Macaca fascicularis: one gene and its partner. The protein of the gene in region 1 purifies or fractionates together with the protein of each later gene. This does not show direct contact. Links are inferred from orthologs where the notes say so. Each region holds a gene or a part of one and is shown on either strand. Other genes may lie near its edges.

Evidence for each region. Proteins that work in one complex are often made in the same cells at the same time.
Region 2: the proteins of RPL23 (region 1) and RPLP2 fractionate together in Homo sapiens (co-fractionation; 4 studies listed by BioGRID). This does not show direct contact. The link is inferred for Macaca fascicularis from reciprocal best matches to the Homo sapiens genes RPL23 and RPLP2.

The regions. Positions count from the first base shown.
Region 1 is NC_088390.1:59,848,984-59,854,647, forward strand, and holds RPL23 (large ribosomal subunit protein uL14), read right to left. Parts: upstream 3,914-5,664; 5' UTR 3,887-3,913; coding exon 3,874-3,886; intron 3,280-3,873; coding exon 3,196-3,279; intron 3,165-3,195; exon of another isoform or gene 3,030-3,164; intron 2,899-3,029; coding exon 2,770-2,898; intron 688-2,769; coding exon 574-687; intron 432-573; coding exon 349-431; 3' UTR 302-348; downstream 1-301.
Region 2 is NC_088388.1:710,415-716,279, reverse strand, and holds RPLP2 (large ribosomal subunit protein P2), read right to left. Parts: upstream 3,519-5,865; 5' UTR 3,444-3,518; intron 3,250-3,443; 5' UTR 3,249-3,249; coding exon 3,126-3,248; intron 1,573-3,125; coding exon 1,524-1,572; intron 1,489-1,523; exon of another isoform or gene 1,355-1,488; intron 399-1,354; coding exon 300-398; intron 177-299; coding exon 100-176; 3' UTR 63-99; downstream 1-62. UniProt on the Homo sapiens protein: Plays an important role in the elongation step of protein synthesis.

The sequences.
Region 1 (5,664 bases):
AAAGATTGTAGAGGCCGGGATGGGCAGATCACTTGAGATCAGGAGTTTGAGTCCAGTTTGGCTAACATGGTGAAACCCCATCTCCACCAAAAATACAAAAATTAGCCAGGCATGATGGCAGGTGCCTGTAATCCCAGCTACTTGGGAGGCTGAGGCAGGAGAATTACTTGAACCCTGGAAGTGGAGGTTGCAGCGAGCCAAGATCTCACCACTGCACTCCAGCCTCGGTGACAGAGTGAGACTCTGGGGAAAAAAAAAAAAAAGGCGTAGAAGTGAACAGGGAGGCAAGCACTGCAAACACTTTTTAATGGGTTTAAAATTTTTATTTTTTACAAATATACTGGAGAATCATGCAATGCTGCCAGCATTGGATGCAATCCGGGGCCACAAGTCTGCACACTCCTTTGCTACTGGTCCTGTAATGGCGGAACCTGCATTAAAAAACAAAACAAAACAAAAAACATGTGGGGGACAGGTTAAGACATCATCAAACACAGAGGATCCTTGGCCTGTACTTCTAGACAATCCACCCAACCTCAGAGACCTAAGGAACAAGCCAGACTGAGTTCCTACCTTTCATCTCGCCTTTATTGTTCACTATGACCCCTGCATTATCTTCAAAATAAAGAAACACGCCATCTTTTCTACGGTATGACTTTCGTTGTCGAATGACCACTGCTGGATGTACTGAGAGAAGAAAAAAAGACAGCAGTCATTAACCTGTCAAGTCGCAACGCCACCACAAAAGCAGTTGCCAGCTAGACAGAATGTACTGTCAGTGTTTGAGATAGTATAAATATCAATCAGTCTTTAAGGTGATCCTCCCACCTCAGCCTCTCCAGTATCTTGGACTACAGGTGCTCACCACCATGCCCAGATTTTTTTTTTTACTCCCAAAGTGCTGGGAGTATAGGCATGAACCACAACCATCTATTCACATCTTAAAATCAAAGCTGCCAGTATTTTCTCGCAAGTGTAAAACTCTCAGGAGGACAATTATCCTTGCCTATGCCTTTTCCAACTTCACCTCACAGGTGGGTTATTAAGATCCCAGTATCACTGACTTGGGATGTAGAAATGGGACCTGGGACCCCCAACTGCTCCCAGTCCTGGCAATGAGCAGAGACCAAGCTATTCAGATTTATACTGGAAAACAGTTGGAATTCCAGGGCCCAAACACCAGGCTTTATGTTTTACTTTTAAAGTTTTACTTTCCAGTGTCATAAGTAACTTTTACACCCATCTGTACTAAAGTGAAAAAGATGCTTTTCCCAACTTTCAAAATCAAGTATCACTACACAGTAAAATATAATGCTTGTGAAGAACTATTGTAGAGTCAGACACACCTGGATTCAAATCTTCACTGATACTAGCGTGGGGTCCTTACACAGAATTTTTATAATGACAGGAAGACTATACAAAAAATAGATAAGTCTAACCAAGTTAGCAATGGGACACACATGAGGCAGCCAATACTTACTGACCCTCCTCTACTTATAAACCATTAAATGCTCACAAATTCATCAAGTAGACAAATAGACCTGGCCCTTTTGCACATTTCTGTGCTTGTTATTTATTAAGTTCCAAGGGGAGGGGATGTATTCATTTAGCAGAAACAAGGACCAAAAAAGACATTAACAGAATTGGATACTCACAGCTCGTTTTAAAACTGAAGTGTTCTGAGCTCTGGTCTGTCCCACCACTGACTGAGACCAACAATCCACTCTCCTGCCATCTCATCTACAAAGTGATGGCCATTTGCTCTGCTCTTCTCTAACAGCTCCCTGGGCCACCAATCAGACCCAGGAAGTGTTCTGAGAAGAGGAAAAAGCCCATGCAATTGCTGAATCACAAGCACAGTGCTACCAAGCCCTCAAGTGGCTATTAATGGTAAACAAAAAAAGATTTCTAACCCAAAGGTTAAAAATCTACTGGAGAGCATCGTGGAGTGGATACAGGAATAGGAGTAACTGTAACACATGGCTAACAAATCAACATCATATTTGTAACTCAAGGGATGGCCATGAACTCTTTAGAAGAGCAAGACATCCCAGGGTAGAGACAGACTAGGCAGGCACAGGAAAAAACTGCAAGAGCTGAAGTTAAAATGCATCAAATACCAGAAGTTCTAAAGCCGGACAGGACACAAACTGCAAGTATTTTGAGGCCTCCCCCTTTAAATCATACAGCTGACAGGAAAACTTATGAGGGGGTAGCCTGAGATTAAGTAATGAGCAATTAGCTGGGTGTGGTGGCGCACACCTATGATCCCAGCTCCTCGGGAGGCTGAGGCAGGGCAATCACTTGAGCCTGGGAAGTGGAGGTTGCAGTGAACAGAAAGATATGTGCCACTGCACTGCAGCCTGGGCAACAGAGTGAGATTACATCTCAAAAATAAATAAATAAAAATAAAATAATGAGCAGCTTCTCGTTTTCATTTTCTAATTTTTTTTTTTTTTTTTTTGAGAACCCAGGAGGCAGAGAGGTTGCAGTCAGCCAAGATCGTGCCATTGCACTCTCCAGTGTGGGCTGAGCGACAGAGGGAGACCCCATCTCAAAAAATAAATAAATAAATAAATCTAAAGTATGGAAATGACAAGATGATGGTCCCCCCTCCAACATAATATGAACAAAAACTTAAGATACTTATCTCACATTGCCTCTCAATGGAAAACAACCTTGAGGCCTTGAAAACTGATCCATTTTCCAATAAAGGAAAGAGTCCCCCCACTACTTATCAGTGTTAAGGTGGGCTCAGTGTTTACTCACCCTTTTTTCTGAGCTCTGGTTTGCCTTTCTTGACTGTGGCCATCACCATGTCACCCACACCAGCAGCGGGAAGTCTGTTCAGCCGTCCCTTGATCCCCTTCACGGAGATGATATACAGGTTTTTGGCTCCTACAAATCAATGTAAATAAAAATGAAAAATGTTGAGGGCCCATCAGGCCGTTCCATCAGTATTACATTTCCCAAACACTTCCAAAGTCCCTCCCTCCACTGACTGCCCAAGCAGTTAGTCCTCAAGAACGCCTTGTCACACCACCGATTGAAGCAAACAACACAACATGTTGCCACTTCACCCAAAAGCGATGTTTTCACTCTCCCCTTTCTTGACGGCTCAATAGGTCATTAGGCACAGGCCCATTGAGTGCTTTTAAAAGGGGGAGTATAGAAACCTGCAGTCAAAGACCTCACCTGTGTTGTCAGCACAATTGATCACAGCTCCTACCGGAAGACCCAAGGAAATCCGGAATTTCGCACCAGAGGACCCACCACGTCCTGTGGATATAAAGGGAAGGTAAACAGGATAAAGAGATCACTATCTAGACATGGTTCGCAGTTCCCTCTCATACTCTTAAACTGTAATTCACCGCACATACTTTGACAGATGGTATGCTATAGATTAGCTCGCTCGGATTTTACTTATGCCCTCCCCGTGTGCCACCCGATTCTCACGGAAAGTAGCCTATTTCTCACTATTACCACTCTGACATCGAAATTAAGGAACCTAGACGACTCAGCCCTTGTTCCAACTTTCGCAAAACGCAATTGCTCCTGCAAAGCATAAGACCGCAGAGGTCGCGCAAACCAGGGCCTAATCCAGTCTAACTTCAACCCCAATACGATAGCCCTATTCGCAGAGCGATCTCGCGGGATCCAGACTATATTCATGTCGGGATCCTGCTATGTCAACTCTCCAGCACCCCACTGCCACTTTCGAGGGCCCTGGCAGTGCTCTTGCGATGGCCTGGCTCTCCCTCTCCGGCCTGAAGGAGAGCAAAGCGCCCCAGCTGCCTAGGGCCACCGCTCCTGACGAATCCGCCAGCCACTGCACGACAGATGGTGGAGGATCCTCCAGAAGCAAAACCTCACCTCGCTTCGACATCTTGAACGCCGGAAAAAAGAAAAAAGGAAGTTGATTCAAAGGACGCTGGGATATGAACTTTGACGCCCCGCCCACCTTCGTCACGTGGCCGGAGCTAAAAACTCTGCCTCTTCCGCCTCTGGGCGCTGCCTTATTGCGTATTAAGTTCACGACGTTACTTTGAGCCCTCTCTGAAGTGGGCGTTGAAGTAGAAGCGCAAGAGATAGGAAATCTCTTCTCCAGGAGCTTAAGAGTAGTTAGGGACATGGAAGCAGTGATTTGTTAACTTGCTCACGACCTCTTTTGACAACTTAATACGTGCCAGGCACTTATCAGCACACTAGAGAATAGGAATTAAAACACGGTTTGTGCCGTGTGGGGGTTCCCAAAGAAACAAAGACAGTGGGGGAGGGGGGAGAACCAGCTCCAAACGGTTTCGTTCAATGTAATACAATTGAGAAGTGCTACAGATCATTCCATCTATGTGTTCTTGGTACCATACCATTCTGTATTTTACATATACAGTATTGCTCTGTTTATTGACCCGCCCCCCCCCCCCCCCCACACACACACACAGTTGTTTTTTGTTTTTTGTTTTCTTTTTTTTGAGACGGAGTCTCGCTCTTGCCCAGGCTGGAGTATAGTGGCGCGCTCTCAGCTCGCTGCAACCTCCGTCTCCCGGGTTCAAGCAGTTCTCTGTCTCAGCCTCAGAGTAGCTGAGACCACAGGCGCCCACCACAACGCTGGGCTAATTTTTGTATTTTTAGTAGAGATGGGGTTTCGCCATGTTGGCCAGGCTGGTCTCGAATTTCTAACCTCAAGTGATCTGCCCGCCTTGGCCTCTCAAAGTGCTGGGATTGCAGGCGTGAGCCCCCGCGCCAGGCCACTTGCTCCTTTCACAGCTTCAGCCGCCCCTTTCTTCTGGGTTCTTCCCGTGCCACGATGCATTCATTCAAATACTTACTGAGCTCCTACTTTGTAGCAGGTTCTGTCCAGGGCGTACAGCGGATTACATCAGACAACAAAATAGATCAATATTGTTGTCCTTATGGAGCTTACATTCTGCTGGGGTGCAGGTGGAGGAGGATATTAGACACTAAACAAAAGATATAATAAATAATTGCAGTATGTAGTATGTTAGATGGGGATAAGTATTATAAAAATATAAATAGTATCGCTTCTTGGCCTTTTGGCCAAGATCAAGTGTAAAATACAAATAGTGGCCGGGCCTGGTGGCTCACGCTTGTAATCCCAGCACTTTGGGAGGCCGAGGCGGGTGGATCACGAGGTCAGGAGATTGAGACAAGCCTGGCCAACACAGTGAAACCCCGTCTCTACTAAAAATACAAAAATTTTCTGGGCGTGGTGGCACGCGCCTGTAATCCCAGCTACAGCTACTCGGGAGGCTGAGGCAGGAGAATCGCTGGAACCCGGGGGGCGGAGGTGGCAGGGAGCCGAGATGGCTCTACTGCACTCCAACCTGGGCGACAGAGCTAGACTCCGTCTCAAAAAATATATATATAAATAGCTCTTTGAGAAAGACGCCGTCGTAGGTGTTGCGGATCGCCAATCCTTACGCTCCTGCTCCCGGCTCACCGCTGTTAGCTCTCGCCCAGGAACCAGAGGGTCAGGAAGCCGCGCAGTAGCCATGGATTTTAAGGATACCGGAAAAACACCCATGGAGGCGGAGGCGGCAGTTCACGAATTCGAGTCACTTTAACGAGCTGCACCATAAAATCCCTGGAGTAGGTGTGTGCTGACTTGATCAGAGGAGCAAAGGAAAAGAATCTCAAAGTGAA
Region 2 (5,865 bases), on another chromosome or scaffold:
CTCTTTGATGCGAAGCTGGGCAGCGACTACCGTCTGACAAAGTGCTCATGGAATACTTGAGGTATGTGTAAAAGGCTTTATTTGCAGGGTAGCAGGAATTTAATCAAAGAGGCCAAATCCCATGTCATCGTCTGACTCTTCAGACTCCTCCTTCTTCTCATCTTTCTTCTCCTCTGCTGTGGAAAAGAGAGGCGTGGTGAGCACTGCCCAAGTGCCAGGCCAGTCCCCCCATGGAGACCCCACTGCAGCAACACTGTCTGAGCCCCAGCCCCTTGCCCACTCACTAGGCCACCACTTACCTGCAGCAGGCGCGGAACCAGCAGCAGGTGCTGCAGAGCCTGGGGCAGCGGAGACGGCCACAGCCCCACCGGCAGGTACACTGGCAAGCTTGCCAATACCTACAGAAAGCAGAGAGGTGAGACCAGAGCAGCTGCCCAGTCCGGGAAGCTGTTCCACAGGGAAGTCAGATGGCACCATGGATGGCACAGGGCACCCAACATATATGGACCCACCATATGCCAAAGTCTCCCGTTCTTCCGGAACACTCCCTCCCCCAGCCACTCCTCAACAGGGACTTTTCCTATCCAGAAACTTGCCTTCTAGGAATTAGGCCCACATTACCTGCCTGCCCACTTTCCCCACCTCCACCCTCAGATGTCCGTTGGACAAACATGGTTTTTTGTTGTTGTTTTTTTTTTTTTGAGACAGAGTCTTGCTCTGTTGCCCAGGCTGGAGTTCAGTGGCGCAATCTCGGCTCACTGCAAGCTCCACCTTCCAGGTTCACGCCATTCTCCTGCCTCAGCCTGCCAAGTAGCTGGGACTACAGGCGCCCGCCACCTCGCCCAGCTAATTTTTCATATCTTCAGTAGAGATGGCGTTTCACCGTGTTAGCCAAGATGGTCTCCATCTCCTGACCTTGTGATCCGCCCGCCTCGGCCTCCCAAAGTGGTGGGATTACAGGTGTGAGCCACCATGCTCGGCCTGGACAATGAGCATGCTGCTCCAGTGTCCACATCTCTGGCCACAGCCATGTGCTCATGGCTTGGCCCGTTTGCTGAGCCAGCCCTGTCCTGGTCACATGCATGGAAGACAGGAACAGCTGCCCCAACAGCTCAACTTCCAAACAACTCCCACCAGCTCAGCTGACACCAACAAAAAACCATCTGCCCAACAAAGAGGCAAGAAGCCTGTGAACATCCCTGGCACCCGTAGTCCCTGCCCCCAGCTCCTTCACAGAAAGCATGCGGTAAGAACTGCTGACATGAACTCAGTTCTCCAGACACCAAGCTTCAGAGGCAGGGCCACCTAAACGTCCACTGAGAACACAGGGTGCCCCCTGCTGCCCTGCTCCTGGGAGTGTCTAGAAGCGCCCATGACATGAGCCCACTGGAGCCCTGCTCACTCCTCAGGTGAGGCTTCTAGGGTGCTCTGGTCCACAAGCGAAACCTGGCAGGCCACAGACGGACCAGCAGGGATTAGGATGGACCATGAAAACAAATGAAAGTCCCTCCACATCAACTCACCCTGGGCAATGACGTCTTCAATGTTTTTTCCATTCAGCTCACTAATAACCTGGAGCAGATAATCACACAGCTGTTACCAGGAAAGTGCAAATGTATCCCTGGCCCTATCCCTTCCAGAATCACAGCAGGACTGGGTCCCCCACAGAGGAATACGCCCTGAAGTTTCTAGACCTGCACTGCCCAAAGGGAGCCACCACCCTCGCTTGGTAAGTGATATAAAAATAAATGGACACTAGGTTTCTTAGACTTAGGACTGAGAAGGGAACACACGGTGTCTCACCGCTTAATGTTGACTACTCACAGGTATCTTCAACACGGGCAAAATAAGCTGTCAATGAAACTGACTTTGACTTCAGGCTGGAGTGCAGTGGTGGGATCTCACTGCAGCCTTGACCTCCCGGGCTCAAGCGACTCTCCCACCTCAGTCTGGGACAACAGGTGTGAGCACACACACCTGGCTGATTTTTTTTTTTTTTTTTTTTTTTTTGAGACGGAGTCTTGCTCTGCCGCCCAGGCTGGAGTGCAGTGGCGGGATCTCAGCTCACTGCAAGCTCCGCCTCCCGGGTTCACGCTATTCTCCTGCCTCAGCCTCCCAAGTAGCTGGGACTATAGGCGCCCGCCACCTCGCCCGGCTAATTTTTTGTATTTTTTAGTAGAGACGGGGTTTCACTGTGTTAGCCAGGATGGTCTCGATCTCCTGACCTCGTGATCCGCCCGTCTCGGCCTCCCAAAGTGCTGGGATTACAGGCTTGAGCCACCGCGCCCAGCCTTGATTTTTTTTATTGTATTTTAGAGACAGGGCTTGGCTCTGTGGGACTGCAGTGGCACAATCACTACTCCATGCAGCCTTGACTTCCCAGGCTCAAATGAGCCTCCCGCCTCAGCCTCCTGAGTAGCTGAGACTACAGATGTGCACCACTGCCTACAACTTTTTTTTTTTTTCAACTTTTTCTGGAGACCAGGTTTTATGATGTTTTCCAGGCTAGTCTTGAATTCCGAGGCTCCAATAATCCACCCGCCTTGGCCTCCCAAAGTGCTGGGTGAGCCACTCACCAGGACTGCCTTTTTTGTTTGTTTTTTAAGGAATCTTATGCATCTCACTTGTATTAAACTTCCAAAGCTCATTAATCACGACTTTGCCTCGTACCCCTCCAGCTTTTTATTTTTTCCTTTTGAGACAGGGTCTCTTTCTGTCGCCCAGTCTGCAGTGCAGTGGCACGATCTTGGCTCAGTGCAACCTCCACCTCCCGGGTTCAAGCAATTCTCCTGCCTCAGCCTCCCAAGTAGCAGGGACTACAGGCACCCACCATCACGCCCGGCTAATTTTTGTATTTTTAGTAGAGATGGGGCTTCCATATGTTTGCCAGGCTGGTTTCGAACTCCTGACCTCAGGTGATCCGCTCGCCTCGTCCTCCCAAAGTACTGGGACTACAGGCGTGAACCAGTGCACCTGGCCCCCACCCTGCTTACTTCTCTACCCGAGACATCGCCGACTGGACTGAAACAAGCCTCTCCCCGAACCCTCCAGCATGTGGCCGGATCAGGCAGAAAAATCGCCTGTACGGCGCTCTACGGCGGCTGCGGGGCAAGGGCGGCAGCTACCTTGTTGAGTCGGTCGTCGTCCGCCTCGATGCCCACGCTGTCCAAGATCTTCTTGATGTCCTTGGCGCTGGGGGAGGAGTTACCCCCGAGGGCAGCCAGCAGGTAGGAGGCGACGTAGCGCATTCTGAGGCGGGCGGAGAGGGCGCGACGGCGGTGTTATCCCGGTGGCCTCCGGCCTGCCCACCCCGGGGCCGCCGGACGAGGCCGCGTGTGGCTCGACCAGTAGGCCTCCGTCCCGGAAAGACCCCGCCGCCCACCTCGCATGCCCGCGGACCCCGCGTCCCCAGCCCGCACCCCGGGCCGGGTCATCACACTCACGCGGCGGCGTCTGCGGCGGCGGCGGAGAGGCCTCACGCGTGCAACCTCGGCGGTGTCAGGGAGGAAAAGGAAGGCGCCGATGCAAGGGGCGGGGGTAAACCGCTACCCAGAAGCCTCCGGGACCCGAGCGGGGCGCCGCATGAGGCGCCTCAGAATGGCGTCACGAGGCGCTCAGCCAATGACGATGGAGGAGAAGCCATTGACACTTCGCCCCCGGCCCCGTCAAGACAGTTTCCGCGGCACAGGCGAAGGCCAGTAGTTCCGGAAGTGGCTGCTCTTATAGCGTGGGGCGAAGGTCCCCCGAAACTCGTGGTGGCGACGGACGAAGCGAGCCCAAAGGGACGGCATCTGCCTTCGGTACCTAGCGCTCCCAGCATGCCACGCGGCGCCTACAGCGCCCAACATGCAGCGCGGCTGCCACGCCCCGGACGCAACCTTCGCCCGCGAACTGCAAGTCCCATGGTGCACCGCTGCTGGAAGTGGCCTGCGCCGCCGGCCTACGCGGAACGGCACGTGGGCCCGAGCGGGGGCTGCTCGCGGTAGGCTCGCCCTGACTCTTTGGTGGTTCCCTGGCCGCGGCGACCGGTGGCCCCATGTCCAGCCGGGCTCAGTGAGGTCAGCCAGCCGCCTCGGACTTAGCGACTGCAGCCCTACCTGGGAGGCCACCCCCGTCCTGCGGGGCCAGGGCGTCCTGCCAGAGGACGAGCGCGAACCTTGGAGGGCAGGACAATGACTTGAGGCAGCGTCGCCCACTCACCCCTGGGAGGAGTGAGGTCCGAGCGGTCAGCCCCTGCGCTGGCCGCTTCGGCCCAGAACTGACCTTGGTGTCCATGTGGACATAGCACATCAGGGGACCCTGCCACATTCTCGGGTCCTGGGAGGGAACAGGGTTGGCCCTGCCTTCTAAGGACTTCAGTTCTGCGAGGACGCAGGAGGTGAATAAGGGGGCGATCCGAGGGATAGGGACAGAGCGCGAGTTGGTCTGGGCAGCCTGAGAAAGTCTAAGCTGAGAGATAAGGAGCCAACCCTGCCAATAGCCGGGGCTAGCACCAGGAACAGGGGGTCAGATGCAGGTACCTAAGGTGCTAGCAGGCAGCGCCTGCTCCCGTGGGGCTCAAACAGCAGTGCAAACCCTGGGATGTGTATACATCAAGCATTGGAACTCGACTTCACCGTCGCCTTCTGTGGCCTCGGTGTCATTACCCCCATTTTATAGATGAGGCGGTTGGGTACAGAAAGGTTTTCTTGCTCGAGGTCACACATCTGGGATAAAGGCGGGAAAACATCTTGCGAACAATGTGACTTTTTTATTTTGTAATTTTTGAGACTGGGCCCCATTCTGTCGCCCAGCCTGGACTGCAGTGGCTGGATCACAGCCCACTACAGCCTCAAATTCCTGGGATCAGGTGATCCTCCCACCTCAGCCTCTTAGCTGAGACCACAGGCCTGTGCCACCACACCTGGCTAAAATTTTTTGGTAGAGACAGTGTTGTTGAGACATGGGCTCAAGTGATCGTCCCACCTGCACCTCCCAAAGTGCTGGGATTACAGGTGTAATCCCAGAGTCACCGTGCCTGGCCAGGATTATGGTTTCATTCAATGTTTTTTTTTTTTTTTTTTTTTGAGACGGAGTCTCACGCTGTTGCCCAGGCTGGAGTGCAGTGGCGCCATCTCGGCTCACTGCAAGCTCCGCCTCCCGAGTTCCCGCCATTCTCCTGCCTCAGCCTCCTGAGTAGCTGGGACTACAGGCGCCCGCCACCGCGCCCGGCTAATTTTTTGTATTTTTAGTAGAGACGGGGTTTCACTGTGGTCTCGATCTCCTGACCTTGTGATCCGCCCGCCTCGGCCTCCCAAAGTGCTGGGATTACAGGCTTGAGCCACGGTGCCCGGCCTTCATTCAATGTTTTAAGCAAGTCCCTTCACATTGGTGTGCAACCATCACCACTATCCATCCCAACCTTTTTTTTTTTTTTTTTTTTTTTTTGATATAGAGTCTCGCTCTGTCACTCAGGCTGGAGTGCAGTGGCGCTATCTCGGTTCACTGTAAACTCCACCTTCTGGTTTCACACCATTCTCCTGCCTCAGCCTCCCAAGTAGCTGGGACTACAGGCACCCACCACCATGCCCAGCTAATTTTTTGTATTTTTAGTAGAGACGGGGTTTCACTGTGTTAGCCGGGATGGTCTCGATCTCCTGACCTCGCGATCCACCTGCCTTGGCCTCCCAAAGTGCTGGGATTACAGGCATGAACCCCCGTGCCTGGCCCTAACTTTTTTTTTTTTTTTTTTTTTTGAGGAGTCTCACTGTTCCCCAGGTTGAAGTGCAGTGGCATGATCTTGGCTCATTGCAACCTCCGCCTCCTGGGTTCAACCGATTCTCCTGCCTCAGTCTTCTAAGTAGCTGGGATTACAGGCACCCACCA